4 linked regions of the Struthio camelus genome follow. The protein of the gene in region 2 interacts with the protein of the main gene of each other region in a biochemical or structural test. Links are inferred from orthologs where the notes say so. Each region holds a gene or a part of one and is shown on either strand. Other genes may lie near its edges. The genes, in order: ATR, ATM, EIF4EBP1 and RBBP8.

What was found.
Region 1: of the proteins of ATM (region 2) and ATR, one has a biochemical effect on the other in vitro, tested with the Homo sapiens proteins (2 studies listed by BioGRID, with this or other methods). The link is inferred for Struthio camelus from reciprocal best matches to the Homo sapiens genes ATM and ATR.
Region 3: of the proteins of ATM (region 2) and EIF4EBP1, one has a biochemical effect on the other in vitro, tested with the Homo sapiens proteins (2 studies listed by BioGRID, with this or other methods). The link is inferred for Struthio camelus from reciprocal best matches to the Homo sapiens genes ATM and EIF4EBP1.
Region 4: of the proteins of ATM (region 2) and RBBP8, one has a biochemical effect on the other in vitro, tested with the Homo sapiens proteins (4 studies listed by BioGRID, with this or other methods). The link is inferred for Struthio camelus from reciprocal best matches to the Homo sapiens genes ATM and RBBP8.

Annotation. Positions count from the first base shown.
Region 1 is NC_090950.1:15,508,426-15,516,420, forward strand, and holds the start of ATR (serine/threonine-protein kinase ATR), read right to left. Parts: upstream 3,062-7,995; 5' UTR 2,949-3,061; coding exon 2,890-2,948; intron 1,205-2,889; coding exon 1,113-1,204; intron 663-1,112; coding exon 519-662; intron 1-518. UniProt on the Homo sapiens protein: Serine/threonine protein kinase which activates checkpoint signaling upon genotoxic stresses such as ionizing radiation (IR), ultraviolet light (UV), or DNA replication stalling, thereby acting as a DNA damage sensor.
Region 2 is NC_090942.1:205,615,977-205,623,465, forward strand, and holds the start of ATM (serine-protein kinase ATM), read right to left. Parts: upstream 3,028-7,489; 5' UTR 2,888-3,027; intron 1,265-2,887; exon of another isoform or gene 1,136-1,264; intron 533-1,135; 5' UTR 503-532; coding exon 431-502; intron 349-430; coding exon 236-348; intron 1-235. Other genes in the region: protein NPAT, read left to right, coding at 3,220-3,256, 6,510-6,628.
Region 3 is NC_090968.1:7,033,100-7,040,343, reverse strand, and holds the start of EIF4EBP1 (eukaryotic translation initiation factor 4E-binding protein 1), read right to left. Parts: upstream 3,041-7,244; 5' UTR 2,936-3,040; coding exon 2,788-2,935; intron 1-2,787. UniProt on the Homo sapiens protein: Repressor of translation initiation that regulates EIF4E activity by preventing its assembly into the eIF4F complex: hypophosphorylated form competes with EIF4G1/EIF4G3 and strongly binds to EIF4E, leading to repress translation.
Region 4 is NC_090943.1:120,909,522-120,917,583, reverse strand, and holds the start of RBBP8 (DNA endonuclease RBBP8), read right to left. Parts: upstream 3,232-8,062; 5' UTR 3,057-3,231; intron 1-3,056. UniProt on the Homo sapiens protein: Endonuclease that cooperates with the MRE11-RAD50-NBN (MRN) complex in DNA-end resection, the first step of double-strand break (DSB) repair through the homologous recombination (HR) pathway.

The sequences.
Region 1 (7,995 bases), on a different chromosome or scaffold from region 2:
AAAAACAAGCTGCTCATCACTAAAACCATAAATCTCCTTGCGATAAAGGCATCTAGGCTTGATAAACAGAATGCCTTCACAGAGACAGGAAACCTCTTTGAAGAAGAGGGAAAGTGGGGGAAAAAAAGGGCACAACAACAACAACAAAAAGATTTCAGGCTAAGTATCATTTCATCTACATTTTCCGCATATTTAAAAAAGACTTAGGAAATGACTATGGGTTCAGGATGACTATGGGTTCCTTTCCAACAGGAACTGGACAGTATCTTAATGACTACACAACAGTAATGAATAAGGTCAGACTCTGTCCTGGTATATATCTCGACAAGTTTCCATTATCACAAGTGCAAATCAATTTACAGTTATAAAAGGATATCGTAAGATTAACTTATAAACATGAAGTGCTGAACTTGCAAGAGAACAAAAACGGGGAAAAGGGAGATTTGCATGATCCACGGGCAGAAAATTTAAATCACGTAAATACCAAATTTCAACATAAAATTTTTCAACCAACTCACCAATGCAACTGCATTCAGTTTCCTCCTGATTTCCATCCATGTTTACAAACATAAGAGGGGAAGATTTCATGATATGTTGAATAAAATCAAGCAGCATTACAGAACTTGGCTGTGAATCAGATTTCTTAATAAGCTCCAAAGCAACTGAAAAAAGAAAGGCAGATTTCTGAATTAGTACCATGACACAGCAACTTCACAGATTTTGTTCATACTTAACAGGGAAAGAAGAAAATTATTACATAAAATATTATTATGTGGTATTAAATCTGTAGAGTTATCAGTTAGGAGTGCTTTATAAATTTGCAAAGCACAAGATTTTTAATGTTGTGAGCATATATACTCATACGCCTCTGCACTTCACATAGTTACTTCTTCTAACAGTTATACATTTGACTCACATTACTTCATATCACATCAGCAAAGACTTTATCGTATAGATTATTTTAAGTAAGTCATAATAGTCATTCAGCTATTAAATTTTTGTTGAAATTGTAACTCATATATAACTTATTTTTAGCAGGAATTACATAAAGGAAAAAACAACAACAACCCAAAACAGATGATCATTTTAAAAGCAAGAGGTGCAATGCTTACCAACATCTACATCTGTAAGAATTCTGTCAATGAACTGGCAGAGTATTTGCCTCGGTTTCTGCACAACGGAATTGTATTCTTCTGGATTAGCACTAAAATTAAAAATACAAAATAACTATTTAAAGTGTATCTCAGCAACACAGTGTTAAACACTGAAAGTGGTACTTTTTACTTCTAGAAGACTTCAAAGAGAAATACAAATTGATTCCCCTTTTCAGTGACCAATATATTGTCTGCTTCTCTTTTTCCTCATTTTTCAAAAGAATGAAGTTTTATGATGTGCTGAAGATCATTAAATTTTTGGCTATGCAGTTATGCTTGATATATATTAAATCTATCTCCGACTCATTAAGGGATTTATACACACTACTCCAAAGCAACAGAACAGTTTTGGTACAGAAAAATAAAATTAGGAACCTATTTTAATTTTAGAGTTGCCAAAATTATTCAGCTGACTAGCTGTCAGTACGCAAGGTAAGAGGTATCGACTGCAGCAGCTCTGACAACTAAGATACCAGCTGACGCTGCCAGGTCAAATCTTCAGCATACACTTGTATCTCCACAGCCATTAGTTGCCTACCACAATCACAGCTACAGTTTTTTAGCTTTGCAGATTGCTGCCATTACCACTTTAGAGCCAAACATTGATCTCTGTATAGATGGCCCTGATACAGGCCCCAATTGTGAAAAGCTTGTATGCCAGTTTAGTGTTTGCAGCTTTAATGAACTGAGCTGGACAAGAGCAATTTTTGATGTGTGAGGGCATGTGTAGCAAATAACTGTAGTCTCAGGGTTAAGTAGGTTCACTTCCCCTGATGCAATGAAGATCGCAGCTAGGATAGGGACACTTGCAAAGCACAGTTTGGATTGCTTCAGTGAAGGCTGCAGACTGGATTGCAGCAGGCTTACAGAAAACTCAGACATCCACCTATTTAAGTAGGCTATCTTTCCTGTAACCTGAACGACAACAAACCAAGATGTTCTCTGTACACATGTTTAACCAACCAGCCACAAAAGGTCAAGAACACCTTTGATCAGGGCATTACCTCAAGAAGCAAGGGATCCAAGTTCCAACTCTGCCACAATCTCCCCCCTCCCTGACATAAAGATGGAGTCCGTTTTGGCATCTGCACAACCGGTGCTCATGCTACTCTTTTGCTTTATGTGGTTGTTATAAAGCACTCAACTACTGCACTAAAGGGAATGTAAGACATTCAGGTACTGCAGAAAGGAGTTTTCCATAGCTTAAAAAAAAATGAAGGAACAAATGGAACAAAGAAGGCTGTTCCAGTCATGCCATCATCCCGAGGGACCTTCTGGAGTGCATGCCTCAAACACGGACGTTTAACATCTCACTTTCAACTCTTCTAACTGAGCAGCAGCGAATGACGATTACAATTTACAACTTCCAGATGCAGTTCTGACTAGAGGAGCTTTAAACTAGTAAGGCGTCTAATCGAGTAGCGCAAAGCACGCTAGAGAGGACTAACAGATGCTTTAAGGTCTTTCAATTCTCAGCGAAACCCCGCTGGAAGCACAACAGAACAGCCCTCCCCAGGAGGCCGGGCGCTACGCCCGGGCAGCCCAACGGGGCCCACCCGCCCGGCTGCACCCCGGGCTGAGGGGTCGGGTCGGGGCAGGCCCGGCCCCGCGAGGCCTCCCTCGGCGGTGGGGAAAGAACCTACTTTCTCCACTTCCCCACAGCCACCCGCTCCCCCCAAGCCCTCCCGCCTAGGAGGGGCCGGCGGACGCGGCTGCGGGGCCGGGCGCGCCCTACCTGGCCAGCTCCCGCAGGGCCGGGATCATGGAGGCCATCTCCAGGCCCTGCTCGGCCATGGCTCCCGCTTTGAAACGCGCGGCGCGGCGCGGCGGCGGCACCCGGCGGACGGCGGCCGGTAGGGCTCAGAACACCGCCGTTCTCGTGCGGGCCGGTTCTCTGCCCGCTGCCCCTCCTCCCTCGCGCGGCTGAAATTTTAACCGCTTCGTCACCAGCAGAAAGCCCCGCGGGGGGGGGTGGGGGGGGGAAGGGGGTCAGGTCAGGTTTTTAGCGGCCTCTCAGGGGAGGGCAGCAGGGCGCTCCTCGCCGTCGCAGCGCTCAAAGTGGTAAAAACAGAAAGGGGGCAAGCGTACAGCGGGGGGGGGGGGGGGAGGAATACCGCCAGCCATGAGTGGAGCCTGTCACAGGGGCGCTGAGGAGGGAACCTCGGTGCCCCTCGGGCGGAGGCCCCGCCGCCAACGGCCGCCTGCCCCGCCCGCCCGCACCCGCGGCTGCTAATTCCGCCAACGGCGAGACTGTTTTATCGGGTCACGGGAAACGGCGCCGCCGCAGCCCGCCCCGGCGTTGGCCCTGGGCGCTGCCGCCCCGCCCCGCCCCGGCGGCGGCAGGTGGCGGCGGGGACGCGGCAGCAGGAGCAGCAGGTAGGGAGCGGCTGCCGGTGCCGGTACCGGTGCCTGGCCCGGGGTTTGGGGCCCGGCGCCGGGCCTGGGGGGTGGGACGGGACGGGACGAGGCGGGAGGGAGGGCGCAGCCTGGCCGTGCGGGGTCTTGGCGCCCGCCGGCTCTGTGCCGCTCCGCGTAGCTAGCAGCAGGAAGGATATTTAAAATATAGTGGTTATTTTTTATTTGTCAGTGTGCGTTACTTTCCGTTCGTGTTCTTTTGAGGGGACAAAGGTATTTGAACGCATAAATGCTTTAAAGAAAAACCCTAAAAGCGTTGTGCAATGTACTTAAAGTAGCCTGCTTTCTTACGCTACAGGAAAAATTAAATGCGTGCTTTAGTAGCAGTCCTGGGATGTAATGGTGATTGTCACTGTATGGCCCATACGTGGGAGCCCTGCCCACGCAGCAAGTCTGTGAGACCTCGGAACGTGAGAGGATACAAAAAGCGTTCTTGTGTGTAGATACTAGTAGCAGGAAGAGTACTTAAGGGCAAATTGAAGTCTGAGCTTTGCTTTTCTGATTCAGAAGCATAATACTTTCTGCATTTGTTTCTGAACTGCTTAGCATTGTTTCTGGGCTGAAATAAAATCCTCTCAGAGGCTTGTAATTCTGTTGCCTGTTTCCACTGCACTGTGCCTATATCTTTTGCATGTAAAACAGCCCAGGAAATGAAGTGGATGCATCTGTGTGTTGCTGTTACTGATTCATTGCAGGTGCATGCTTTTAGGGAACCTATTGCTAATTAACTTTTTCAGCTACACCTGGTTATTTTCATCCTACAAAATACCTGTATACGGTTTCATACAAAGTTTTGCTGATCTTTCAAAGATCAAAGAGTACCCTGGTTGCTAACATAGGAAGGAATGAGAATGTTTCAAGAAACGTTGCAAAAAATAATTGAGTTTCATCTTAAATTTTTCAACGCTTCTTGCAATTTTCTCTACCAGCTGACTGTAAAATATTGGCCTTTTGAGATTCATTCCCAGGAGCGAAAACGGTTTACACGTTTTCTTAAGTAGAATTTCAATGATACAGGAAGACAAGGTACGTCTGGGTTTTGTTGTCAATTTTATTTTGAACAGAGAAGTTTCTACACAATTTAAATAAAAATATATACTTCTTGTTAGAACAACAATCTGAGTGTAAACTGCCAATTCTGAGACAGCAATCACTGCATAGAAAGTGTAAATTGCACTACTTGCTAATTTGAAGTAGAATGGAAGTCTCGGTGTCATCCCTGATAAACTTGGGATCCCAACAGATATTTAGCTATCTTTCCTAAGAAGATTTGGAGTAGAATACATACATATTCTTCAGCTTTTAATCCTAAGAAATACAATAAATTTATTGAAGCATAGAGAGATGTTTTTTTGTTTATAAAGAATAAATGGGGCAGACAAAGTGCTTGACAACAACAAATAAGTACTTTTGCCTGGAAGTCTCCCAATTCAACAGTGAGCTCATGCTAATATAGCTATTGCAGAAACACTTTCATTTGGCATAGGTAGAATTCTATAGAAATTTATGTTGCAGTTACTTCAAACGTGTAATTCAGGCTTTTTTGTAGTAAATACTCCCAGCAATTCACTAAAGAGGTGTCTCCTGCTCCCTACCCCTCAGTGGTAGTGAGGCCAGGAGCCTCTGTTCTCTCCCAGTGACAAAGCCTCATGTGCTGCCTTCTGACCATATCATCATGTTCTTCCTGTTACCTTGGTCTTAACAGGACTCTCTAGTGCCCCTAATGACAACTGCATTGTCCCAGGTTCACAGTGTTTGTGCTGTGAAGATAAACGATGTCTTCTCGATGCTCACCTTAAAATATTTTTATGGGCACTCACAAAACCAAAAACACCTAGCTTTGCCCCTTGCTTTTCTTGAACACACAATAAGAAGCTCAGTAAAATTTCAATTCACCTCCGTCTTGTTTCTCCCTCATCTCATTATTTTATACTTTATATGTCTCTGTGTCCTCAGTAGGAGGGGGAGATGTATTATCATCCATCTGGAGAGCGTGCCTCATGACTAAAGAAATTAGTGTGCCTTGAGACTGTTTTGTATCTTCTTTTCCAGTGCAGATCCATATTGGTGAAATAGGTGTGCAGAACTCCCAGCTTACAAAACTCAGGAAAATTCATGCAGGGAGTTAGAGCTAGGTATCAAATGCAGTGTGTACAGTAGTGTCAAGATATCTGCTAAAAATTTCTTCCCCTCCCTCCCCCCCCCCCGCCAACTTGAACAGTCCTCTCACTTCTTGCATGATTCTCCCACACCTAGGCCTGCATCTTCTTTGGCATTGGTTGTTTTTTTTTTTTTCCACGTACCTTCCCAGGGCACTCACTTAAGTTTCATACTCACACTGAGTAACACAGAGTGACTTTGCTTTGGGCCAGCAGGTCCTACACACAAAGGCATGTTGATTCTGCTTTTATTCATTCTGTTGCAATTTAATTCAAAGATAGAGGTGAACGTACTGTTCTTCTTGGGGCTCATCCACTGCGTGGATGTGTGAGAGATGGTGCCTGTTAATAAGACTGCAGTTAAATCTCAGCTGTCCCTTGTCAGTAGACACAAGTGATTTACGATGACCTAAAGGCACCTGTGTATTTCTTGATGTCTTCATGAACCGTGAAATACAAACATTGTACAGGCTGATACGGTGGTCAGAGGAAGTTCAGCCAAGATGGTGCAGTGAGCTCCTCTGAACTGTACTAAGTGGTTTTATGTAATATCAAGGTGTGCTTATGGTTTTTCACTTGCATGGTTGCTGTAATAATACCCAATGGTCTGTATGATTACTTGAAAACTTATTTCCATATATAGTCATGAAAGTGCTTGTCAGAGTAGTTGACTGACCTTTGAACGTGTTGAATTGTTCCTGTACACCATAAAAACGTATATTCCGGAAGGCTATGTTTTTGTCTATGCCTGTGTCGCCTAGTCAACTTGGCTAGAGGGAAGAGGCACAAGTCAAAATAATATTCAGTCCGGAATATTGGTTTGATGATTTTAAAAAAAAAAAAAAAAAAAAAAAAAGAATAGTGAAAAGTTGAAATAGTAAATGTCAGTAAGGGCCATTCACCAGCTGGCATCCTGAAAGCAGGAATATATAAATTCAACCACTAGGCAAAAACTGACAGGTGAAAGAGGGGACAAAAGTGAGGAAAGAAAGAAAATATATAAAACTGTTTTTTAACACCCCCTTTCACTCTATGTTATCCACATAGGTCCTAGTCTTGCAAACACTTATCCACATATTTTTAATATGAATAATCCTGCTTACGTACTTAAGACTATTCATGAAGTAAAATTAAACATTTGAGTAATTCAGAGAGATAGTGTGTTAGATTATATGTTCTTTGGGAACCTGGCATTATTATTTGTATAGTAGCAGCCACTGTTTTTTGCTTATGCACAGACGCTACTGATAAAAAGTAGTTGCCTGTATATATATCTCTGTTATTTATGGTTTTTGCTTTCTAGTAGAAGAATATTACTCTTCAGGTTAGCAGCTTTGGAGTAAACTCATAGGAATTTATTTATTACCGGGACTAGTGTTACAAAGTCAAGACTTTCCTGAGTTGATAATTCTGGAATAAAACTAAGATGCTTGGAATCTACTTCCTTAAGGCAAAACTTTCAAAATTTTAAATGCTGATTAAAAAAAGTATTCCATAACTAGGGAATGTGATTGACAATAATGACTCCTTGGGAAAAATGTTTGCGTGGTTTCATAGGCTCACGCAAAACTCTGTGCTAGTCATGGCAGGAGAAAACTGTGCAGTGTTTTAATTTAAAATGTCATTTAAACTAAATTTGTTTGAAAGTTCTAGCTGTTTTAATTACAAAGGTTCTTCTTTTTATTAAGAACAAATTCTTAAAATCCGAATAACTGTGCTAGCTATTTTCATAGTAAAAATTTGTTGTTTTCCTATAAAGCTTTCATGAGAGGAGAAATAATTTTCTATCTGATTCTATGTTTCACACTGCTCAAGACTAGAATAGAGTTTAGGCTTGGTAATATTGATAAAAGATGTCCAGGCTATTGCTAAATGCGAGAGTTCTCTAATTTTCTTTCCGTGGCTCACTGTAGAAACCGATGAAATGGAAGGAGAAAGGGTAGTCACAGGTTTTTGTCCTTCTATTGCCTTTGTTAGAAGCCAAATAAATTAAGCCAATGTATGCATGTTGTAGCATTATTTTCCCAGTAGGGTATGGTTTTTTTTGTGTGTGTTTTCCCAGTATTTAAGACTTCTACTACTCCAAGGGATTTGTATCAATGGGATGGATATCACCTTTGCAGCACATGATAGGAAAATGTCTAAACTAAAAAGGTTGTACCCATATCCTTATCCTTTAATGCTCATATAAAGTCTAAGTCTGTGACGTTAGTGGCCTCCCTAGCGCTAGCTAATTAAAGAAAATATTTTCGTAGAGTTCACCGGGA
Region 2 (7,489 bases):
GTGTTGTACTCAGATGATTGATGCATTATTTGGCTATTTTAGATTTATTTCTTTTAGAGAGTAACATAAGTCATTTCTTGACTGACAAGAAGCCTCAATCAATCCGCAGGAAGATAAGCATTTAAATAAGCCTGATAAACAAAATAGTGATGTTCCATGCAAGAAACATGACCTTTCACCAAAAAAAAAAAAAAAAGAAGAAAAATGCTTTGCTCTGGACAGTAAAAGAACCTACCCAAATACAGCATCCCAGCTGAGTTGCTTTGCTTGTTTAGAATCAGAATTCCGGTCCAGTTGGAGAACTGTTTCAGAATCACGGAGCAGTCGCTTGAAATTTTCAATTTCTTTCTGAAAATGTATTTCAGGAAAAAAAAGGTTATTAATCATTCCCTTCATTGAGAATGATATATACCAGAAGAAACCTTATTACCCTTCGCTCTGTAGCTTTATCATTCTCAAGGTGACGGCAACAAACGAGCAGATCATGTAACACAAGACTCATGGTTCAGTTTAACAGGACAGTCATTTGCATCTGCAAACAGAAAAAAAGGATGAAATAAATTATTTTATTTAACACAGAGCCAAGTCAATCAGTTCAAAATTTTGAATTTTCAATATATTGCATTTCCATGTCAAATACAACAGCTTTACTTCACTCAAAAGCTCATTCCTCTCTGGGTTGGTGCTATTGCTCACAAGACAGAAGTAGAAAGTGTCATGTCAAGAATGCAATCTATTCCGAAGAGCAGTAGTTGTGGACAAAAACAGAAAAGGGTCCTTTCACATGACTGACTTCCTTCTTTTTAAGGCTAATGAAAGAGCAGAGAGTCGATGAGACAATACAGACTGAAACATGAACGGTAATGAGAACACACTCGGCTCTATGTCATTTTAATCAGGCAAACAGCACTAACTTTCAGGACATAGCAGTTATCAGAAGCACTTTTAACCTGATGAGGAAAAGGCAGCTCTTTGAAAATAAAACTTTCTTCCACTCTAACCTTCTCTATTATACAGCTATGCACCATTATATTTACAAATGCCTCTGGACTCCAAATACCACAAGATGCTCAAATATCAACGACAGGAGAAAAATACTTTTTTGCTTCTATTACTACTTAAGATTATGCCCTACCTCTTTTAACATACGTCCGAATCAGATCAACCTTACATTTCTGGTTTCCAGAAAATTATGTTGACGCAGATCATGACAATGAAATTGTATGCAGCGTCCATGCTTCTCCTTGTACCCTTTCCCTTAAACTAGCCTCAGGACAAACTCTTATCTGAAAAACAGAGATGGACATGCTGGAAGTAACACCAAGCATATGCTGCTGAAGCTGCAGTATGAAGCTGAGAACTGGCATACATGATGCACATCACTGGCCCCGGAACACTTAAGTAAGAATATATAAATAACCATTTAGCTGAATAAGGCAGTTAAAACTTTAAAGATCTACCGTCTTATACAAACATCATCTTGCTTTCATCTTCTTTGGATTCAACAGAGATCACGCTGAGACAAATGGGTTTCTTCATATATGTCTGGAAACCACATTTTAATAGCAAATTATTTTGACTGCTTTATAATCCACGTGATTACTTTGACCGCATTAAAAACCGAGGTGAGGAGAAAAAGGACAGAAGAGTTGACCAATCTGTGGAATAACCAGGGGCAGGGGTCCCTGACATATACCCTTCCCAAAGCAAAAACAAAACAGCAGATTTCAAATGTTTGACGTTTATGCCATCTATACAGCGCATCACAGGAAAAAAAAATACTGAGCACGTTCTTTGACAAAAGGTCAAACTTGACAGATAGTCCTGTGCATAAAACTCTGAATATTGAGAGCTCTTGTTCCTCTAGAAGAGTTCGAACCTCTGTCTTTAATCCCCTAAGATCATCTTTCCATCTTATCACAGTGCTAGGATTTATGGGAACATCACGACTTGAATGGCCTTTTTCCTGTCACATATTCATGTGCCCACCTTCCTGTTCTCTTCCTTGTAAATCTGTGTCTTAAAGGTGACCAGAACTGAGAACTCAAGACAACCGTGAAACACAACGTTAAGGCACCACCATGTAGTAGTGGCAGCTAGCAGCTAAGATGGATGGAGACAGTCAACACGGAAATGGAGCTGAGTAAACATGACCAGAAAGGGATGGTGGCTAGTTAGGTATTGAGGAAAAGGAACCTATGGCAAGCTTGAAAGGCCTGCTCTGGCGTACAACTAAGCTCAGTTAAGCAAGGAAGCATTCCTCTACTAACTTGCTACTTATGCCGAAAATAACCGAAAGCAAGAAACAACATTTCACATGCTAAAGGCTTCTAAAACATTGATGGGATGAAAAATTAAGGGTTGACTGAGAACTGTGGCAACACGGGGTTGTATGTTGTAGGGACTGGGGCTCAAGAAGAAAGAGGGCCGCGTCTTCTTTTACTGGCATTTAAAGGTATTTTAACTACCATGACAACAACAGTGACAAGTTCCTAACACTGTACGCACTTGCCGTTTCTCTTTGCAGCCCAGTCGCCAACTACCAAATCATGACGGCACTCATCCCCTTTCAAAAAAAAAAAAAAATACCTGGGACAAGTGGGACAAGGAAGGAGCCCTTTAAAAACAGCAGACACGCACCGAGCGCTCCTCACCGAGCTACGCTACAGCGGCCCAACCGCCACCTCGCGGGTAACCACAGCCGACCACCCCAGCCCGCCGCCAGGCGAGCGCCGGGCCGCCGCCGCCGCCCGCTGCCTCCCCGCCGCCCGCCACCCGCCGCGCGGGCCGCCCCTCAGCACCCGCGCGGGGACCGCGCCTCGAGCAGCCCCTCAGCCGGGGCGGGGGCAGGCATCGGGAGGGCACGGACGGGCAGGAGCAGGCCCACCTCTGAGCGGCGTCAGGGGAGCGCAGCGCAGCGCGGGCGCGCGGCGGCGGCTTAACGGCCGGCGGCGGCGCGCGCCCCCCTCGCGGCGGCGGCGGCGGGCGAGGAGAGGAGAGGAGAGGAGAGGAGAGGAGCGCAGCGCAGCGCACGTGTGGGCGGCGGCAGCGGCGGACCTGGAAGCGGATGCGCGGCGGCGGGTTCCGGCGGAAGGGGCCGGGCGGGGCGCTGGCTGGCGGAGTTTCCGCGCCTTGCCCTGGGTGGCGGGGCGGCCGCGCCGCGCCTCGGGGGGCCGCGTTCGCCGCGCCCGCGCCGCCTGCCCCTCCGCGCCGCGGGTCATGCTGCTGCCGTCCGACGTGGCCCGGCTGGTGCTGGGTGAGTGCGCGCGGGCGGGGCGGGCACCGCCGGGCCCGCGGAGGCGGCCGCGACCGCGGCCGCGCAGGGCGAGGGGAGGGGAGAGGCGAGGAGAAGCGAGGAGGGGGCTCCGCCGGCCGCTGACAGGGCGCTCGGGGCGGCAGGCGCGCGGAGGCAGCCGCTGCGCCCTTGAGCCTCGGCCGGCGCCGGGCCGTGGCCGCCCGCCGCCGGGGATGTCACCCGTGTCCGCGGCGAGGCGCAGTGCCTGGGCCGCCCCGGGGCGGTCGGGCGGCCTTGGGCCCCGCTTTTAGCGGGGAGCGCGGCCGGTTCGCCGGCGGCTTTCGGCCCCCGCGAAGGCAGCGGCGGGGCAGGTGGAGGCGCCACGTTGTGCTCGGGCGGGTGCTGCGTCGGGAGCCGCCCGGGAGCGGCGCTGAGGTGACTCCCGGGAAGGCCGGTGGGCTCTGCCGCCTCCTTGTGCGGGCGGGGGCTGGTGGGCGAGACTGGGGGGAGCCTCTGCTCTCAGCACCAATCCCGGTGGTCCAAGAGGCCAGATGAGAACAGGTGAGGGTTCAGCTGGTTTTTCTTTCCCTGTTTCCGTGAGCCGCGAGGTCAGATCGAGAACTCCCTTCTGTGGTGCGCGCTGCGTCCGTGGGAAGCATAAAACAAGTGTTTTCAGGACCTTGACAGCAGGGAGGATAAACTGCTAAAAAGACTTTACGCTTGCAATGTTTGGTCACAGCCAAAGATGAGAGCAAGTGGCCGTGGATTGGAAGTAGGACCCCTATATGTAATAGGTACGCTGTCAGCAGGTACTGGTCCAGGTCGCTAAGATTTCCTGGCAGTTTTCATAGCAAGATGCTGTTTTCAGGTGCACAGACAGCCTGGGCAGATTTTGCCAGTCAAAAACCAGTGAGGCTGAATCTTTTCTTTCGTCTGTCTGCAGTTCTATTTATTTTTAAACGCTACCTGAAACGTTTGTTGTTGCTTTTCGAGAACTGAGCGTAACAACAGAAACATTGTTTTTATTATTGCAAAGTAATAGGATTTTTTTCAAATTCTGTGCATTGTAAAAGAACACTTACAATTTGGCGCGGGATATCTCTTTTTGGCCATTTACTTGCTATACTTTTCGATAAAATTTTGGTTAAGTTGTAAGTTTCTTAGTAAACAGTTTATCTCACGTGCTGCGTAGAGACTTGTAGATAGAATAAAAATTTTGAACGTTTCGCGTGTATTGAGGATGCTCCGTCCTATCTTGCGTCTGTTGTGGCGTAGTGCATGCAGTAGTCCTAGAAAATCTCTGAGCAACCCAAGATTGTAGAACAGGATATTCTTAACAGTTATTTTTGTCTTCTAATAGCGATTGCTCCTCTCTGAGGCATCTGAATTCTGAGCAGATCAACAGGCTTCCTAGCGCAGTTCCTCTTCCTTTTTTTTTTTTTGTTTTTCTCTAGCAAAGTCTTTTTGGTGCTGTGAGTGTTGATGAGTATTGATTTAAGAAACAGAACTAAAATGGTAAGATGAGCTTGCCTGTAGAAAAAGGCATAAGCAAATTTATCGTTTTCTAGGTAAAGAGTGAATGAGTACTGTAAGGTAGACCATAGGTCTTCACATATATTAAGATAGAACAAAATGTTGAATACTTTCTAGTTCAGCAGGCACTCTTCCTTTTGTGCCTCTAACTTGTTTTTGGTAATGTTGAAGGTTGTATATGATTCTGTTATTGTAATGTACGTGCACAGACAATTTAAGTTCAGTCGCCGTTATCTGCAGGAAATTGATGTATGTGCCAAATAGGCCTGTGTGCTGGCATTCAGTCATCCTTCGCAATAGGAGGCTCAAGAAAGAAATTGCAACTGTTTTTTAGCAAAGATCCAGAAGATGGGTTTGATCTGTGCTGGTATGGCTGTTCTTACAGTCGAACTCCCATCTAGCTTAATGCCCTGTCTGTAATACTGGTCAGCAATGGATGGTACAGCAGACAGGCATAAGACTGGCATGTAGGTGTATTTCCCCCAGTGTGCCCTCAGCTTCTAGCAATTTGTGGTTTGAGGATTTTCTAACAAAATGTATTTGAAACATTAAATATGGCAGCCCTCTCTATTCCGCAGGTGCCAACTACATTTTGTCCCATATGGGCTAGCTCGTACATCCTAATGAAACTCTCAGCAGTTATTCTCAAACTGTGTTTAACTTTGAAGTTTATTTGTCGGAGGCCTGTGAGTGTGAAAGCTGATCTACTTTTTCTAGCTATGCTTGGATCTGATAAAAGATATTATGTCTTCATGTGAACTTAAAGGCAGGATTTTTCTATGGACTTTCCTGAACTGAGGCAGGCTGTTTTGGGGTTCTGTGTGAATATGATTAGGTATGTGTATTTTAACTCTTTAAACGATTGCGTATGCAGTTCTGCTACAGATAAGAAAGAAAAGGCACGATATTTTGTTTTATGGCTCTTTTGTTCTGTAATCCTTTACTCAGATTGATCTAGCTTTACCTTTTAGCGTTTAGACTATTTGAAGATTAAAGCGGGATTTAAAATACCTTAAAAGAGCATATTAACTGAGGACTGGGATTTTGAAAAAGTGAACTTTTTCAGTATAGTTCCTGGTAAGATAACTACTGAGTCTTGGGGTAGGGTATATAAAGTGTACAAGTGTACACTAGAATACCTATTAAAAATGAAAATTACGGTAAGTAGAAAAACAAAATACTGATTTTGTAAAAATAATTTTTATATAATGTCATTTTTGGAAGAAATCTAATGCGCTGTCTTAACGATGCATATGTTCTACCTGTTCTGAAGCTGGAGAATTTATGGAGAGTTATTGCTGCACAGCAATGCATTTTATTAATACAGTACTATAGAATTCTATTTGTTTATAAAACTAGATGTTTATAATCAAAACCCATGTGTGAGTTTATTCCTGACTTAAGAAGTTGATATTTTCTTTCTTGTCTGTACAGTGCTATGTGTACTAACGATCAGTCAGAAATTGTTCATATTGTCTCACTTCTAGTCTTGAACAGTTTGTAAATCCAGTACAATGTTAATAATATGTGCTCTTTCTGGTTTTAACTATTAAAGGAATACGTTGCAAGATAGGTGTTCTTTCATAATGACTTCAGTTTCCTTATCTAATGCATGAATCCTTATCTAATTGTTCCAACGTTATATCATATAGTTGGTCGTATTAATGCTTCAATACCTACCAAGCACAACATGCAGAAATAATGAATAAAATAGCAAAGTCTTCTGTCTGATTTATTGCAGGGTATTTACAACAGGAAAAGCTTTTAGCTACCTGCCGTGAATTTATTTTGGAAAGCTCAGATTTGAAAGAATATGCAGAGCACTGTACAGAGGATGGGTTTATTCCGGCCTGCTTGCTGGTGAGTTTGTATTTGTAACACAGCAAGTTAAATTGTGTTACAGCCGCGGAAGAGAAGCCTTTTTTTCCCCCCAAAAAGAGTTTTCAGAGTTTTTTTCAGAATACATATGAACAGTGTAACAGTTGCTTCTCAAATGGTGCTTAAGCTGTTTAGTTTGATGGTCATCTCTATTTCTCAGCATCTTTCAATATTTAACATTACTAATAAATAGTTAAGAGGAAAATATGCCAATTGTGTTCAGCATGTTACATTTAGTCTGCTTCATTGTTTTCAAGATTGATATATACAAGGGTGTTCCAAGCATTTTAATTGATTTCAGGATTGCTCTAGTGATTTATTGAAGATCACTTCCTTTTTTTTTAGATACAGCAGTCGGTAATGTTCTCTTTCATGTAAATACTAATTTAGGTAAGGTGCCTCAGCTTTATTTGAGCGTGTCAAAAATTGGTGAAAACAGCTATGTTTTGATTCAGCTTCCCCTTTAATCAGTATGATCTGCTTTGTGCCAGATGAAACGTGGAACTTTGGGCATGGGTATAAATACAACGTGCAGCTGCGTACGTAGATAGGTGCATATAACTACAGGACAACTTGATGCTTTGCACTTTCAGCATATATGACCTGAGATTTTTTTAGTTAGTAACAAAATTATAGGTTTTGGATATTGCTATATATCAAACTTTTGATATTTGTATGTGTATCTTCTTCCCGTTTTGCATTCCATTCTTCTAACGTACCACTCAATCATGTAGTCTGGGATTTTGTCCACAATATTGAAAGTGTGTGGAACTCTTCTGAGATCAGTGATCGTGATACACGTATGAGCATGGAACTTCTTATTTCGTTAACAAGTGTCTAGTC
Region 3 (7,244 bases), on a different chromosome or scaffold from region 2:
GCTAAAAGTGAAGGAAGACTAGCAACCTAGAGGCTAGCGTTCTCTGGGATTTTCATCGTACCTCCTTTCAACAATAGTCATTCCACATCTGACCTGAAGGCAGAGCCTGCAGTTGGGCCTTAGAAGAGTGAGTTGTCTTCATATAGGTTGAGGAGGGACTAAACGTACCAAGAGAGTCACGAGAGCTCTGTGGATTTTGCCAGATGTGCACACCCTAACAACAAACACAATCCATATTTCTACTTCACACTCTAGACATTCATTAACCATTTCCAACACAGACAAACAGATGATAATCCTGGAGGCTCTCATTATGCTACAGAGCAGTGCAAGTGTTCAACTTCTATTCTGTTACTTAGAGCACATGAATACAGCTGGGAAGCATTAACTCTAATTCTCCTTTCATGACAATTGCTGCAAGTCCTACTTAAGAATTTCAGCTAGTTGCTGCTTTCAGAGAAAAAGCATGTGTCAAAAATAACACTAGCTTCAGTTCCCCAAACTTTTCTGCATAAACTCAAAAAAGAAATGAGTCAGCAATGTTGACTTCCCTCTTCTTCCTGAATTTTTTCAGCCCACAAAATATTATAGGCTATAAAGATCAGTAGGTCAGAAAGTTTAGCAAAGTGACATCTACTGCCTTCCATTTAGTTTGCTCCTTTGACAAACTCAAGTACAGTGAGCTTCATTATTCCTGCTGTTTGCACTGATCTTTTATGTAGCAGCACAGGGAGAAAATTTTCAAATGTATGGAAAAAGTGATCTCGAACCACTGCTCAGCAGGGGACTCGGACAGCTGTCAGAGTCAGAAATACCCACAGCTGATTTGGGGCACAGTGTCATCATCTGGAACAACAGTCACTTGTCTCACAAGAGACAAACTACACAAACTAAACAAGAAATTCAAGGAGGCTGTGCTGACACAAACTCTTTGAGATGGGTAGGCCCTTTAGAAAATTTTGCACATTATGTTCTTTCTCTAGTATACTGAGATAAAAAACCACATTAGATATAGCATATAGCACATTAGATAAACACTAAGTTTACAGCTCTTGTACTTCCACTGCACTTGCCTTCTGAACAGAGGGCAAACATGGGCTAGTTTTCAGAATCAGTTTATTCTCAGTTAGCTACAAATGACTGAAGATGCAGATCCCTGAAGGACACCATTCCTAGTAATCACACACAACACAACTAGGGGGGCTGCACAAGATGACTTGTAGCAATGAAAGAGGGAGAAAATTCACTTATTTTTTGCAGTAGAGGAGCATAGCATTTTCAGAAAGAGAGGCACAGCACTCCAGAGGAGCAAAAAAATTCCACAAGGCACCAGGCTGTACTTAATCATTGCCAGAAGAAACCACAAATATCAGAGATTAGAATTAATAAGTAACCCAAATTGGAGAATGACTCTACTCCCTACAAGGCTACTCACAAAAAACAGCCTTGTTTATCAAGGCAGACACACAGGTGGATGCTATTTCACTGCAGCAGTATCAGGATTCCTTTTCATTTTTGAAAGTGTAAAATCCTGCTGGCTCCCTTGTTCTCTTTGATGGTGCAGCAGCCAGCAGAGGCCAAACTCCCAGACCCCTGGGCACCCCACACTTCCTCACGTGGCACCCCCTCCTGCAGCTTTCTGTGAGGCTGCCAGGTGAGATGGGGTGGGATGGCAAACAGTAACCCCCACCCCACGGTTGCCCCTCAGAAGAGCCCCCCACTCAGCTGCATCCAGCCTGCTCCTCAGGGATCAGCCCAGCTGTGCTGGCCCACTGAGCCAGCCCCAGTCCAGGAACTGGGGGGGGGAAGACCCTGCACTAGGTCCCCCCACCAACACACAGGGCTCCGGGGCCCCCTGCCAAAATGAGAGCTCCCACTGCTAAGCCAAAACAAGACAAAACAAGAAGGCCTGGGCACCCCCAGAGACCCTCCTGCCCAAAAAGGGCCACTCCCCACAGACCACCTGCAAATCAGAGTGCCCTGACAGGGCAAGAGTCCCCCCATAACACCCCCTATGTCCCCACATCAGGGCAAGAGCCCACACATCCCCTTCTTTCCCCCCTACATTGGGGCAAGAGCCCCACCCCCATAACATCCCAGCAGGGCAAGAGCCCCCTCACATACCCCTGTACCTACCCCCCACATTGGGGCAAGAGCCCCCACATTGGGGTAAAAGCTCCCTCCATAACAACCCAGCAGGGCAAGAACCCCCCACATATCCCTGTACCCCCTTGCACTAGGGCAAGGGCTCTCCATACACCCCTCCATACTGCCCAAAAGAACAAGAGGCCCCCTATAACCATCCCCTCCCCACAACTCTCCCCTCCCCCAACTTCCCCCCAGCAGGGCAAGAGGGCCCCTATACCCTCCCCAACGAGGTGAGAGGTTCCCCCCCCCAAACCAGGGCTCCATGTCAGGGCAAGAGCTCCCCCATATCCTCTCTGCTAGGGAAAAAGCCCCCCACGACCCCGTGCTCAGGCAAGGGCCCCCCCAGCCCCCATACCCTTCACCAAAGGGGCTCCCCCTCCAAACATCCCCCCATCGAAGTGAGAGGCTCCCCATATCCTCTCCGCTGGGAAAAAAGCCCCCCTAAAACCCTCCTCACCGAGGAAAAAGCCCCCCACGACCCCGTGCTCGGGCAAGGGCCTCCCCCCCAATCTCCCCCCAGGGAAGTGAACCCCCCCCCCCCGCTCCCAGGATCCCCGGCCCCTCACGAGAAGCGAGCCCACCGCCCCCCCGAACAGGCCGCCAGCCCCGCGGTGCCCCAGGGCCCGGCCGCGGCCCTACCGCCCGGCGTGGTCCCGAAGACGGTGCCCCCCGGCGTGGTGCTGTAGGCGCCGGGCGGCAGCGCGGCGCCGTCGGGCAGCGGGAGGCGCTTGCCGGGGCCCGGGATGTCGCGGCTCGGCGTCTGCCCCGGGCAGCAGCGGCCCGACATGGCGACGGGCCCGGGGGGGGGGGGGGCTGCTCCTGCCGCCGCCGCCGCCGCGCCTGGGGCCGGCCGCGCCCTGCCCCGCCTCGTCCCGCCCCTTCCGCCGCGCGCACGTCCCTTCCGCCGCGCGGCACGCCGGGAAAAGACCGCCGGGGGCGGGGCCGAAGCGCCGGGGGCGGGGCCGAAGCGCCGGGGGCGGGGCCGCCGCGGCCACGCCTCGCGGGGACCCTCCCCTCGCCCCGCCCCTCAGTCCCGCGGGTCCACGTGCAGCGCCCGGACCCGGCACGGCCCTGGGGGGGCACCCGGGCCCCCTGCTCCCCCCGTGGGTGCACCGACCCTGCTCCCCCGTAGGTGCACCCAGCCCCTGGTCCCCCGTGGGTGCCCCCAGCCCCTGCTCCCCCGTGGCTTCACTGAACCCCTGCTTCCCCGTGGGTGCACCTGGACCCTACTCCCCCTGTGGGGTGCCCCCAGCCCCCTGCTCCCCCCATGGGTGCCCCCAGCCCTTGTTCCCCCGTGGGTGCTCTCTGCTCCCCATGGGTGCCCCCAGCCCATTGCCCTCTGCCCTGCTCCCCCTCGATGCCCCCTGCTGCCCCCCACCCTGACCCCCGTGGGGGGCACAGCCCCTGCTGTCCCCGGGGCCGTCCCCCGGCTGTGACCCCAGCCCGCCCCATGGGACAGCCCGCCCAGGGTGGCCGCAGATGTCCCAGCCCCGCGGCGGGGGGGCCGCAGGGTGCCGGGCCCCGTCCCAAAGGGCTCTTCCCCGGGCCCACCGCGGCTCGAGGCCACCGGCAGAGCCTCCTGCCGGCCCGTCTGCAGCCCACCGCCCCCTGCGCTTCGTTCCCCCTCCGGGGCGCCGGCATGAGGCCCGCCAGGACCCGGGGGCTCCCTGGAGGGTGCGTAACGCGGCGTTCGTTACCGCACCGGGAAGCCTGACAAACGGGTGTGTTACATGTGAGCTGGGACATGAATGGTGTTTGCAAAGCAAGGAGGCCGAGGCAGGAGAGCCGGGAGCATCCCGGAGAGCCGGGAGCATCCCGGAGGTGGGAGAGCCGGGAGCATCCCGGAGAGCTGGGAGCATCCCGGAGAGCTGGGAGCATCCCGGAGGTGGGAGAGCCGGGAGCATCCCGGAGGTGGGAGAGCCGGGAGCATCCTGGAGAGCCGGGAGCATCCCGGAGAGCTGGGAGCATCCTGGAGAGCCGGGAGCATCCCGGAGAGCTGGGAGCATCCCGGAGAGCTGGGAGCATCCCGGAGGTGGGAGAGCCGGGAGCATCCCGGAGGTGGGAGAGCCGGGAGCATCCCGGAGAGCCGGGAGCATCCCGGAGGTGGGAGAGCCGGGAGCATCCTGGAGAGCCGGGAGCATCCCGGAGGTGGGAGAGCCGGGAGCATCCCGGAGAGCTGGGAGCATCCCGGAGGCCAGAGAGCCGGGAGCATCCCAGTGCCGGCGCCGGCTGCTCCGGGCCGATGCTGACACCTGCTGATGGCCGAGGAGAACGGGAAGGCTGCACCGTTTTCCCGTCCTCAGGCAGCATCCTGCCTGCGCAAAGCACCTCTCGGAAAACCCTGGCGAACCCCGAGGACGGTGCCGGGCCCGACGGATGGAGCTGGGCTCCCGTGCGCCAGAGCCTGGTGCAGGGCCGCGGCCGGACGCCGCCGAACCGGCCCCGCGCCCCGCGATAGCCCTCGCTGCAGCGGTCCCTCCTCCGTCCCCCTCGCCGGGCGCGGGACCCCCCGTGGGAACGGGCCGAGACAGAGCGCCGCAGCCGCAGCCCCTCGCCCGCCGCCGGCCGGGGGCCCTTCCCGCCGGGCCAGCTGCTGGTTCGATTACCGGGAGCCGGGGCAGGAAAGCCACACATCCGGCGGCGTGGGCTGACATCAGCGCTGCCCCCCAGCCCGGCGAGCCCGCTCGCTCTGGAATAGCCCGGCCCGGCCCTTTCCTCCTCCTCCTCCTCCTCCTCCTTTGGGCGGTGAATAGCCCATTAAGGGGTCAAGGAGCCGGGGCAGGTCAGGCTCCAAGGGCACATCCTGGCCGGGATGCTGAATCCCGGCCCGACGGATGCCTCTGGCCGGCGCTCCCGGGGGACGCCCGCACGGACGGCGCCGGAGCGGGGCAGGACGGGCTGCAGCAGCCAACGCGGAGAAAGCCCTGGTGGGCGCTCGGGGGCGGCGGGAAGCCCCCCCGGCGGGCGTCCTACCCGGCTGCGAGCCGGCAGACGGGGGAACGTCGTCGTTACCTGCCTGCTCCCGAAAGCCTGTCTGGGCAGGGGCAGGTTTATCCCAAGGAGCCGCGCAGGAGCTGTGCCCCCCCAGCCCTGCTGAAAGGCCCCTGGGGCGCAGGGCTTCCGGCAAGGCCCTTCCGACTGTCCGGCTCTCAGCGAGACGGGCGCTGGCACCTGCTGAAAGCCAGCCGTCGCTGGGTCCTGGCCGTGCGAAAACCCGGCCCTCTCCGGCCTGTGAAGACACAGCTTTTCCAGGCCGCATGCATGAAAAATGCATGCAGAAATCTATCAGAGAGGTTTAAAAATAGCATTTAGGCGGCGGGAGCTCAAGGAAGCGCTGGAAGGGCCGTGGGCAGAGCCGGGCAGCGCCAGAGAGCTCGCGCTCGCTGCGAACCGAGGATGTAGCTGCTCTGCTGCGTTCCCCGCGCTTCGGAAAGCTCCAGGCCGTGCTTGGGGAAGGCGACGCTATCCTGGGCTGCCAGCAACGTCCTTCCTGGACGGCGCCGATAAAATCTCTGTTGCTGGAGAGACGTCCCCCGAAACGGGCTGGCACCGGGCGAGCGGGCCGGGAACGCGCGGCCCCGAGCCCTAACAATGGCCTTTCCTCTTCATTCATCTCCGTCTCTCATTTCCCACGCGGGCTGGGGATAAAAAAGAGAGGGACGGAAGAAAGGGAAACCACCTGGCCCCGGGGCCGGGGAACAAGCAGCCCCGGGCAATAAATCAGCGATGTTTCTGCGGGCGACGGGAGACGTCGTGTAATCCGGCGTTGGGCAATAGGGCGTTTCTGGGTGGGTCAGCGCAAAACGGGGAGACAGCACAAAACCGGCACCGAGAAAAGGGCTCTGGCGGCAGGTTTTGGAGGGGGAGAAGCACGGGGACCGCGGCACCTTCACAGCGTCCCCGGGGTGCTGGCGGCCGGGGCCGGCCGGAGGTGCCGGTTTTAGGGGGCCGGGAGAGCAGGGCAGAAACGGCGGATGCGATGTAGGCGGACCCGGGCGCTTCTCCCTTCTCCCCGTCCGCTCGGGGGACGCGCAGCGGCTGGCGGCCCAGGGAGGGAAGGGCTCCCTGGGGCGCGGGAAACCCCGCCGCCCCCCCGCTGCCGCCCGGCCCGGGCTCTTCTGCCGGCAGGAGATCCCCAGATAGCCCCAGATTTAATAAAAAATGACCTCGGGGAGCCGGCGGGCGCTTTCGTGGGCACTGCCGGCACGGCCCCTCCTGCCTGCCTCCGCGCGGCCCCGGCAGCGTGAGCGCCTTCGCTGCTGAACCGGCTGATTGAAACAGCTTTAGGCGAACGGCCGGGAGCAGGCGCCCGGCGGCGGCCATCCGCCTTACGGGGCCTGGGCAGCGCCTCTCGCCAGTCGCCAAATATTGCTGTGCGTGCTTTTAGGTGCTTAGCTTTAAATGCTTTATTTTAGTCTTTGTTTATGTGTTTATATTTGGATATTTATATGCTTGCATTTGATCATTTATTTATATATTTATGTTTGGATATTTGTATATTTGCATTTGGATATTTGTATATTTATATTTTTAAACGTACATTTGCACAGCTGCGTGTATACGCGTGCAGCCATACGGCGTGATTTGCCAGGGAAGCCGAGCTGCGGGCGGCCGGGCCGGGGCGATGGCAGGGCGCCGAGCGCTTCCGCCGCCGTGTTTACGCGCCCTCGATGGCTGCCGCAGATAACGGCAAACGCGCGTCCCGCCGCCGCCCCGGAGCTGCCTGCGCAGATAAACGCGGCCCCGTAAACAACCCCATCCTGCGGGAAGCGCCCGCCGCCCCGGCCCTGCCCGCCTCGGCGCGCGCCGCAGCCGCCGTCGTCCCGTCGGGGCCCGGTGGCCCCAGGCCCCTCGGTGCACAGTGGCTGTTGTCCCCTCGGTGCACAGCGGTGGCTGTCATCCCCTCGGTGCACAGTGGTCACGCAGCCACGCACCAGTGGTGCATCAGTGGTGCACAGCAGCCACGTCGTCCCCTTGGTGCACGCTGACCCCAGGCCCCTCGGTGCACAGCAGCTGCGTTGTCCCCTTGGTGCACGGTGGCTGCAGTCCCCTCCATGCACAGTGGTGGCCATTGTCCCCTCGGTGCACGGCGGCTG
Region 4 (8,062 bases), on a different chromosome or scaffold from region 2:
TGAACAACTCTGAAACAGAAAAGGGAGTATAATGTAATCCCAGCCCATTTTAGACCCTAATGCCTAAAACGTTTAGCCTTACTAGTAGTATATGAAGCTGTTGACTGTCAGTTACAGTTTAATGGTAATACCTTCTTGGCGACTGGACCATTTGCTAGCAAATCAGCTACTGATTGAATTTATTTTGTAAGAGTACTGCAGTGTTGCACAGATAAAATAACCCCCCCCCCTTTTTTTTGGTAGCGCAGAGGCTGCATTAGTGTTTCTAACCAGTCAGATAACGGTAAGTACAAACAAAGTAGCTTTAAAAGAGAATAGTGGATAGCTTGAATTTTTTTGCTGCTACTACCTTAAATTTAGATGCGAAGATTAAAGCCAGCTTTGAATGGCAATTATCATTGTACTTACACAATGATAAATAAATTGCTCTTTTCCTGCATATATATGTAATAGTGAAACCCTTATTTATTCACATAACATATAGCAGATTGCACATATATGTACATGCCAGTGTGTTCACAACCTCCCTGTCATGCAGGATCTGCATTGAGAGATAAATATATTGATTAATCTCTAGGAATGTTCATTTCATGAACTTCATGTTGTAGCTGCCACTAAGGACATCACATGAGCCCAGCTTCATATGTAGTGAGTGAGAGCATGCAACACGTTTCAGCAGCTACCTACGTGGAATTTCAACTAGGAGTGTAGAAAGTGGCAGTCCTCTGAATGGTATCATTTCTTAAAACTGGGAGAGCACACAGCACACAATCTGTCTGGCACTGATAGCATTTGCTTTTTCCGGAAGAATAGGGAGGAGCTACTCCATCACCCCCACGAGTTGAATTTGAGTCTTCTCAAGCAACTTGCATAGCCACTTTTGAACTCAAGCCAAGGGCAAATTCCCTGATGCCAATAACATTGTTCACTGTAAGGAACCCTTTTCTTTGAAGTGCTTACACCGCTCCTCATCTGTAGTCTGAAACAGCTGGGATTTGCTTGGCTGGAACTCTCAGGTCCTTTAGAGAGGCTTGATGGAGGGGAAAAAAGCAACCCGAGGGATGCTGTTTCAGGACTTCAGTGTAGCGTTCCTGGTCCTCCAAGGACGGTAGATTCTAAGGAGCAGCGCCTGTTTATGTTAGCTACAGACTGAAATGGTTTGCTCTTACCAATATTACTTGGGTTTATATGAATAGGCTGAGTAGTTATGCCTATTTATATTAGCCTTGGAAGTCTATTTCAGGCTTGGAAGACTGAAGTAAAAATTTGCACATCTGTATATCATGCCACCTACTTCTTGCTATAGCGAGCGACAAGAATTCAGAACGGGAGAACAAGCAAAACAGAATAGCAGTTGGGAAATGGTATTTTACTTACCTTTACCTTTTGGGGAAAAAAATCCCTAAACAATGGCCTCTGCCCCAAAGAAAAAGCAATCAGGCAAGAACCCAAATAAAATGGAGCACAAAAATTGCTAAGGCAGAGGGTGGCAAGCAGTATTTTAAAAAATGATGTATTTCATTTGAATTTTAAAAATTGTACAGTGTTCCAATTCTATAGCTTTAGCAAAGAGAGCTCTCTCGGAGCATTTTATGGTCTCTACAGAGTGTCCCTGGTCAAACCATACAGTTCAGCCACTTACAGTTTTTCCTTTTGAGAATGGTGTATTCCTTAGTCTAAGTAAATTTTAATCCCATATTTGATAGTAAAATCAACAGAGATGCTAAGAATTAAATGCTTTTTCCTGATGCATATTTTTAGCCTCTGTGAGAGCGCAAGACTTCCCCTGTGTTGTTTTCCATTCTTTTACACTTTGAAGAACGGTTTTAACTAACAGATAAAGTGCAGCCAGCAAGAAGGTCATTTCAGTCTCTCATTCATTTTTTTAAGCTGCTCAGGAGGCCTTTTTATTGGCAATCTACAAAAGAATAATAATGTTCATTTTTGCATCAACCTGGAAATAGCAGGCAGTAAACACCTCCATAATTGAAGCTTCCTGTTGTGTGACTTCCATAAATTCTTACATAATCTTGCATATATCTACACGTATCTAGTGGTTTATGTCCACTAGGGCAGGAATTATTTTTTTACCTCATGAAAGAGAACTGTGATTGTGTCACTTAAAGAGAGACTAAAATAACATTTCCAGGGAGATGGAAGCGGCTATATGAGTTTTCAAGAACGTAGTTACACAGAGGGTGAGAAGATTCAGATTTACTTCAGTTAAAGAGTTATTTTGTCCTAACAGGCATGACAAAACCTGTCTTCATTCCTTTCTATTCAGCTCAGCAAGTACTTCTGTGCTGCAGTAGTTAATCAGTTACCAGATTCCACAGCTTTTGTTTTCACACTGTTTAATTTTTCTTTTTTGACACTGTACCTGTGAATGGTTTCAGTTGCAGATCCAGGTACAACTTTCAGGGCTGCCTGCTCTTTTGGATTAAGACTCTTTTTTATTATAATTGCTACCACCGTTACTTATTACATTCTAAACAGGAAGTTTCTAATAAATATATAGAAAGAAAGCAGTTAAGAATGACAAATACATTTCCTATATTGCTGTTAAGTCAATTTTGAAAATGTAAATCGAGTTTAGTTAACCCACTCCATAAAACTACACAATTAAAAAAAAAAATGTTGGTCCAGCAAGTATTAGTTATCACACATATTACTGTAATGGCACTGTGCTTTTTCACAGCAGTGCTATTATGGGATTATAAAAAACACTATAAAAGAGAAGACCGAGAAGGATAAGCTAACTTAACTGACCAACTCAAAATACTAAGTCATTGGCAGTGGAGTTTCCATCTCACACTCCTGTGCTGAGTTCATTAAACTGTCTCTCCAGTAAATATTCTTGAAGACAGAGCAGATGATGTTGAGCTGCGTGCAGAATGGTCAAAAGCTGCAGTCGCAAAAATGTCAACAAGCGCCACAGAGGCTGGCAGTACCCAGACACATTAAGGAGATAGCCATTCTCCCACTTCAAGCATAGAATAAAATTTTTGCTTTAGTTTATCTTAAGTTAATTTTAAAGAAAGACTTTCAAAACTCACCCTTCTGTTTGAATTGTGAAAAGTTCTGTTCTTGATCGGGGTGATAAATATTTACTATTGACTTCCCCTCCAGCTATAAACCTCAAGTGTAAGTAAGATGAGGAAGCCACTGTGGACCACACTAGAGAGTGCCGAGAGGAGATCTGCTGCACCTAAGATATATACAATGTGCAATGGATAACCTAATATGCCTTTCATTTAACTGGCTGGGCAGGTTTCTGCATTCTGGAGAGCATGGAATCATACCAGAATTTGTTGGCATAACAGGCCTGTCAGACCGGTTCCCCGGGCGCCCGGGAACCTGCCCAACCAGTCTGCATCAAAGGCCAGCCCAACATGCTGCAGCTCAGCTCAGCTCAGCTCAAGGAAGGCTTCATACGCGGTGAATTATTCATGCCTTTGTCAACTCTCAACATACTACTCAGATAGAATGATGTAGCCTCCAGCAAAATAATTTACCAAGGGGTGGGGGAGTGATATATCCTTGTTAAGTATAGCAAGATCTTATTGTTATAAGCTTTCTTTCATTTTATATGCAGATGCACTGGGCTAGAGGTCTTGCTCAGCATAAATGCAGAGGGAAATGGGAACAAAAAATGTCTTTTTTTATATATCACTAATCATGCAGACTTCTTAAAATCAGATAACCCCAAATGTTTAGTGCAATTAGCTAAGAGAAAAATTAAGTGCCAGTCCTCCTATAAGTGTGAGAGAATACCCTGTGTATAGGATATCGCATAGCTTTGTTACATGTGGGGAGACAGCCAGTGTAATCTTGCCCGGCATTACTGCATTACCACACAGGATATTTGAACGTGAAACGGGTCAGAGAATATGGAGTATACGGGACATGCTTCCATAACCATGAACTGCTTGTGAAGCAGTGCTCTCCTCCTGTGAAGGATACAGCAGCTGCCCTAGCACATGGGTTGCAGCAGCAGCTGCGCTGCTTCTTACTCATGTCTGGGGGGCAAGAATACTTGCACATCAGTCCTGCCTATAGCATATTTATTCAAGGTGTAGACAGAGATCAGGATCTCTGCCCCAACAGAATCCTGCATCTGTATAAACTTACTGCTTTCTTTCAAATACAAATATAGACCATAATTTTCAGCTCTCATGCTGTGATTGTTGGGGTTATTGACTAAAATCAGTAGGAGCTGTGGATGTTTAGCACTTTTGGAAAAGTGCATAAAACTAGCCTGCTAAATCTATGCTTAGGTTCCTTTAGCTTTTATTTAGCCACCTAAATTTAAACACTCAGGCTTAGAAAAGATTAGCTCCGTTCAGTATTGTCTAAGACTGACTAACTTTAGAAAGTTGTGTTTGTTCGTTAAGCAATCCCACTGTGGTATCATCTATCCTTCTTTTGATCTTCATGTCTTATTTATCCATTTTAATAATAGCTACTAGATGACTAGTGGTCAGAACAGGAACTTAGCGTCCACTTTAACCAGCCTTGTGCAACATAATGAGTGGTTTTTCATCATTGACCAGAAAAGCTAACAGAAGAAACACTAATATCTGCGTATGCTGTATTCAGACTATTTTACTACAGGAAAGTAACATTTCTTGTAAGATTATATTTTATGTTGGCCTTTAGTGGAAGGCTTAATTCTAAAGAAGGCAACTGGATTACTAACTGAGCTGAAATGACAGATGTATACTGTTTGTGCTTGCACATACACCACCTTAGGCTATGATTTCATACAGCTAAGCAGGGCTGGGCTTGGTCAGTACTTGGATAAGAGATTTACAAGAAAGTCCGTTGCAGGAAGTGGCTTTGGTGATTCAGTGTGCTGTACTAAATAACTGAGCGTCAAAGCCAAATGTGATGGAGACACTGGGTTCTGGACATGTCATAGATTTGGTGTCCTAAAATGGATTTGATTAAAGACTCCAAAACCCTTTCCATAGACAACACATTTTGAACTGTAAATCCTTGTCCAATGTGAATATAGTTTGTCTGGAAACACTGCCTTCAATTTCTTTTTGAGTGTTGCATAATTGGAATTGCCTAGCTCATTGATGTAGGTAAATCACAAACCAAAACAGCTGATAAATGACATACAACGTAGAGAAGGTGCTGCTTGCGTAGCAGACTAAAGAAGGGCTGATGTGCTTGAAAGCTTGTCTACTCCTCCCAGCCATGTCAGCTAGTCTCATAAAAGATACTGTCTTCGAAATTTTGCTCCTGTATGCTGAACTCATGGCAACAACATGAAGACTGAGGAAAGTACATTTTTACTGTTTTTAAATGGACAGAATAAAAGGCAGATTTCTTGATACTCTCTCTCTAGATTAAACCTGGAGCCACACAGTGAGTCTAATAGTTGGCTTTTAAAACACCCTGGGCTTGTTATTTAACTGCTTGCTAGAGTCTGAGGAGTGTGGGGATAAGAGATCTTTACTATCTCTTCCTTTGATTTGGTAGCTTAAAGGAAAATTTGAACACCTTTCCCCCGCTCCAGCCTCTTGCTCCCCCAACCCAAACCATGCTCATTACACATTCCGTATGGACTTCTCATATAAGGTTGCTGGCAGGGTTGAGGTGTAGAGGTCTTAAATTAAGCTTTTACATTCACTTCCACACATTATAGAAATTTAATTTTTCGGAAGTACAAGAGCAAAGGTGTAGGAGAACAAGGCCGTTGTATGTATAAGTGCGCTGCTGGATAAACATCACTTAACTGTTATTCTCAGCCTTGTAATGTTTGGCAGTTCTAAAAATACATATACCACAGTAATGAATGTTACAGTGTCAGACTTGCTCAGAATTCTCTGTGACAGAGATTGTTTTTCCTCCTCAGGAAGGCAGTATAATTATCTGAAGTACAGAAATCCAAACCCTCTCTTATTTCAGGTATAATTTGCAATAAGGTGATACTATAGATAAATGCTCTTTCAAATTAAACCTATTATTCAATGCTTTTCCAATTGAAAATAAAATAAATTATAAATTATCAACTCCAGCTTCAGTCAATAAAAGTTACATAATGCCTCTCTGTAAAGTCTTCTAATTTATACAATGTTCACATAAAATCTTGAAGGGAAGAGGCTCAGAGATGTGCAATTCTGAAAAGTAAGACGATCTAAATGGTGCAGGCTTTGACTTGTCCTTATAGTAAAGGTATGCACAAACATTCATGTCTACAAGTATTCATTACAGAGAGTTTACAGCATACCTCCCTGTAACTATCAAAAGCTGCTCAGTACTTTCAGAAACAAATTCAGATAACACACATGCCCCACACCCCTATCAGAGTTAGGTAATATCTCCCTCCTCTTGACTGGTTGTGTAGCAGCGTTAAGGACAGTGAGACTGTTGGTTCATGAAGAGCAACTTGAAAAATAGGCCAAGTCCTACTTTGAGTAGAGGAGGTAGTACTTCATCTCTGGCCTAGAGGCTACCTAGAGAAAGATGCCTTGAGGTGAGTCAAAGGATGCAAGCTAAAGCATTTTTTGATTCTTTTCTTTGCAAGAACAGGTTTAGAATTTGTTGCTACTAATTTGCTGCTGATGACAATTTCTCAAGTTTTACCTAAGCTGAGACTGAAGGGCTGGGCATTGGCAGAGCATCAAAAAAGGATTACAACAAGAGAACTATCACTAGTCTCACTACAAGAGCAAACTTTATAATATAAAGACTTGGCTATTTTACCCTGAAAGGAAAAAGACTTAAAATGCTTTTTTTTTTTTCTTTCCTGGGTGTCTATCTGGCTCTTTCTCCTCTGTTTTTAACAGTTGGTGCAGTTCAGTCATTCAAGAGAGGAAATCAGTTTTGTGAACTTTTGGGTGTACCGAGGTCTCCCCATGGGCTATTGCGCTACAGGAATGTTGCGAGGGAATTGTTGTGAGAAAAGAATTAATTCCTAGGAAATTCCAGCATTCCTTTCAGCTGTCAGAGAGGAGGAAGAAAAAAAGGAAATACAAAAAGAAAGTAGCAGAAGCTCTTCAAACCATTAGATTGGAATTGTTACTCTGGAATGAGACTGCATAAATAGCTAGAACCTCCAATTTTGTGTAATTCAAAGAAGAGATCCTTAAAAACAATATTTTCCAGCAATCTTTATGTAAGAGTGTTCGGTTAGTGCTTATTGCAAAAAAGTCTGCCACAGCCTGAGGTATCAGCATCTCTTTTAATTGGATTTTCTTCTTGTCTATCATCTGTATTTGACCAGGTCTGAATTACTATTCTGCAGCATTCCAGCTAATCCTCCTGTAGATATTTAGGAGCACTTTGCCTTTTTTTTTCTGGAGATTAATCTCTACAGGAAAATGAGTATTTCTTATCAAAATCATAAATCAGGATCCAGAACATCAGATATCTGTTTTTTTCAACCTGATTAGTAAATACTTTTATACTATTTACCTCCTTTTTCGGATAACACTATATAAAGAAACATGCTGCCTATATATCCCCTATATCAGGGACCTCACAGTTAGCTTTTCCCATGCTGAAATGAGATATTTTATTTCTCCATTTTGTTTTCTACCTCCTCACTTTTTTTAAACATGAGAACTACTTTCCCATCTCATGGTGATTTAGCTTGTACTTAGAGCCTCTTCTGCAGTCCTTTGTCAAAGACTTTAGAAAATCCAAGTAAATTATCAACCTCTTCTCATTTATCTGCTGTTTTGCTAGTATACCAAATAGTTTTAATGAGGAGTTACAGTTTTCCATTGCAGGAACCTCCTAGCATATTAAGTTTCTCTTTGTGCTTTGAATTGCTAAATTTAATTATAGTTTAAATCACGCTGTTACTGAAGAAAGACTAACTAAAATGTCTCAGGATTACGCATTAGGTCTCTTTTTAGAAGAATATATGTTTGTTGCTCTCTTGTTCTTTGAGTATTAGTGAGAAATATTTGATATTAGTGAGAAAATATCTTTTTGGTTTGAAACTTGATATTAGTGAGAAAATATCCTTTTGTTAGCAACTTGAAATGCCACTTGGTTATTAAGCTTCTTCAGAATTCAGAACATCAAGAGAAACCCAACCATC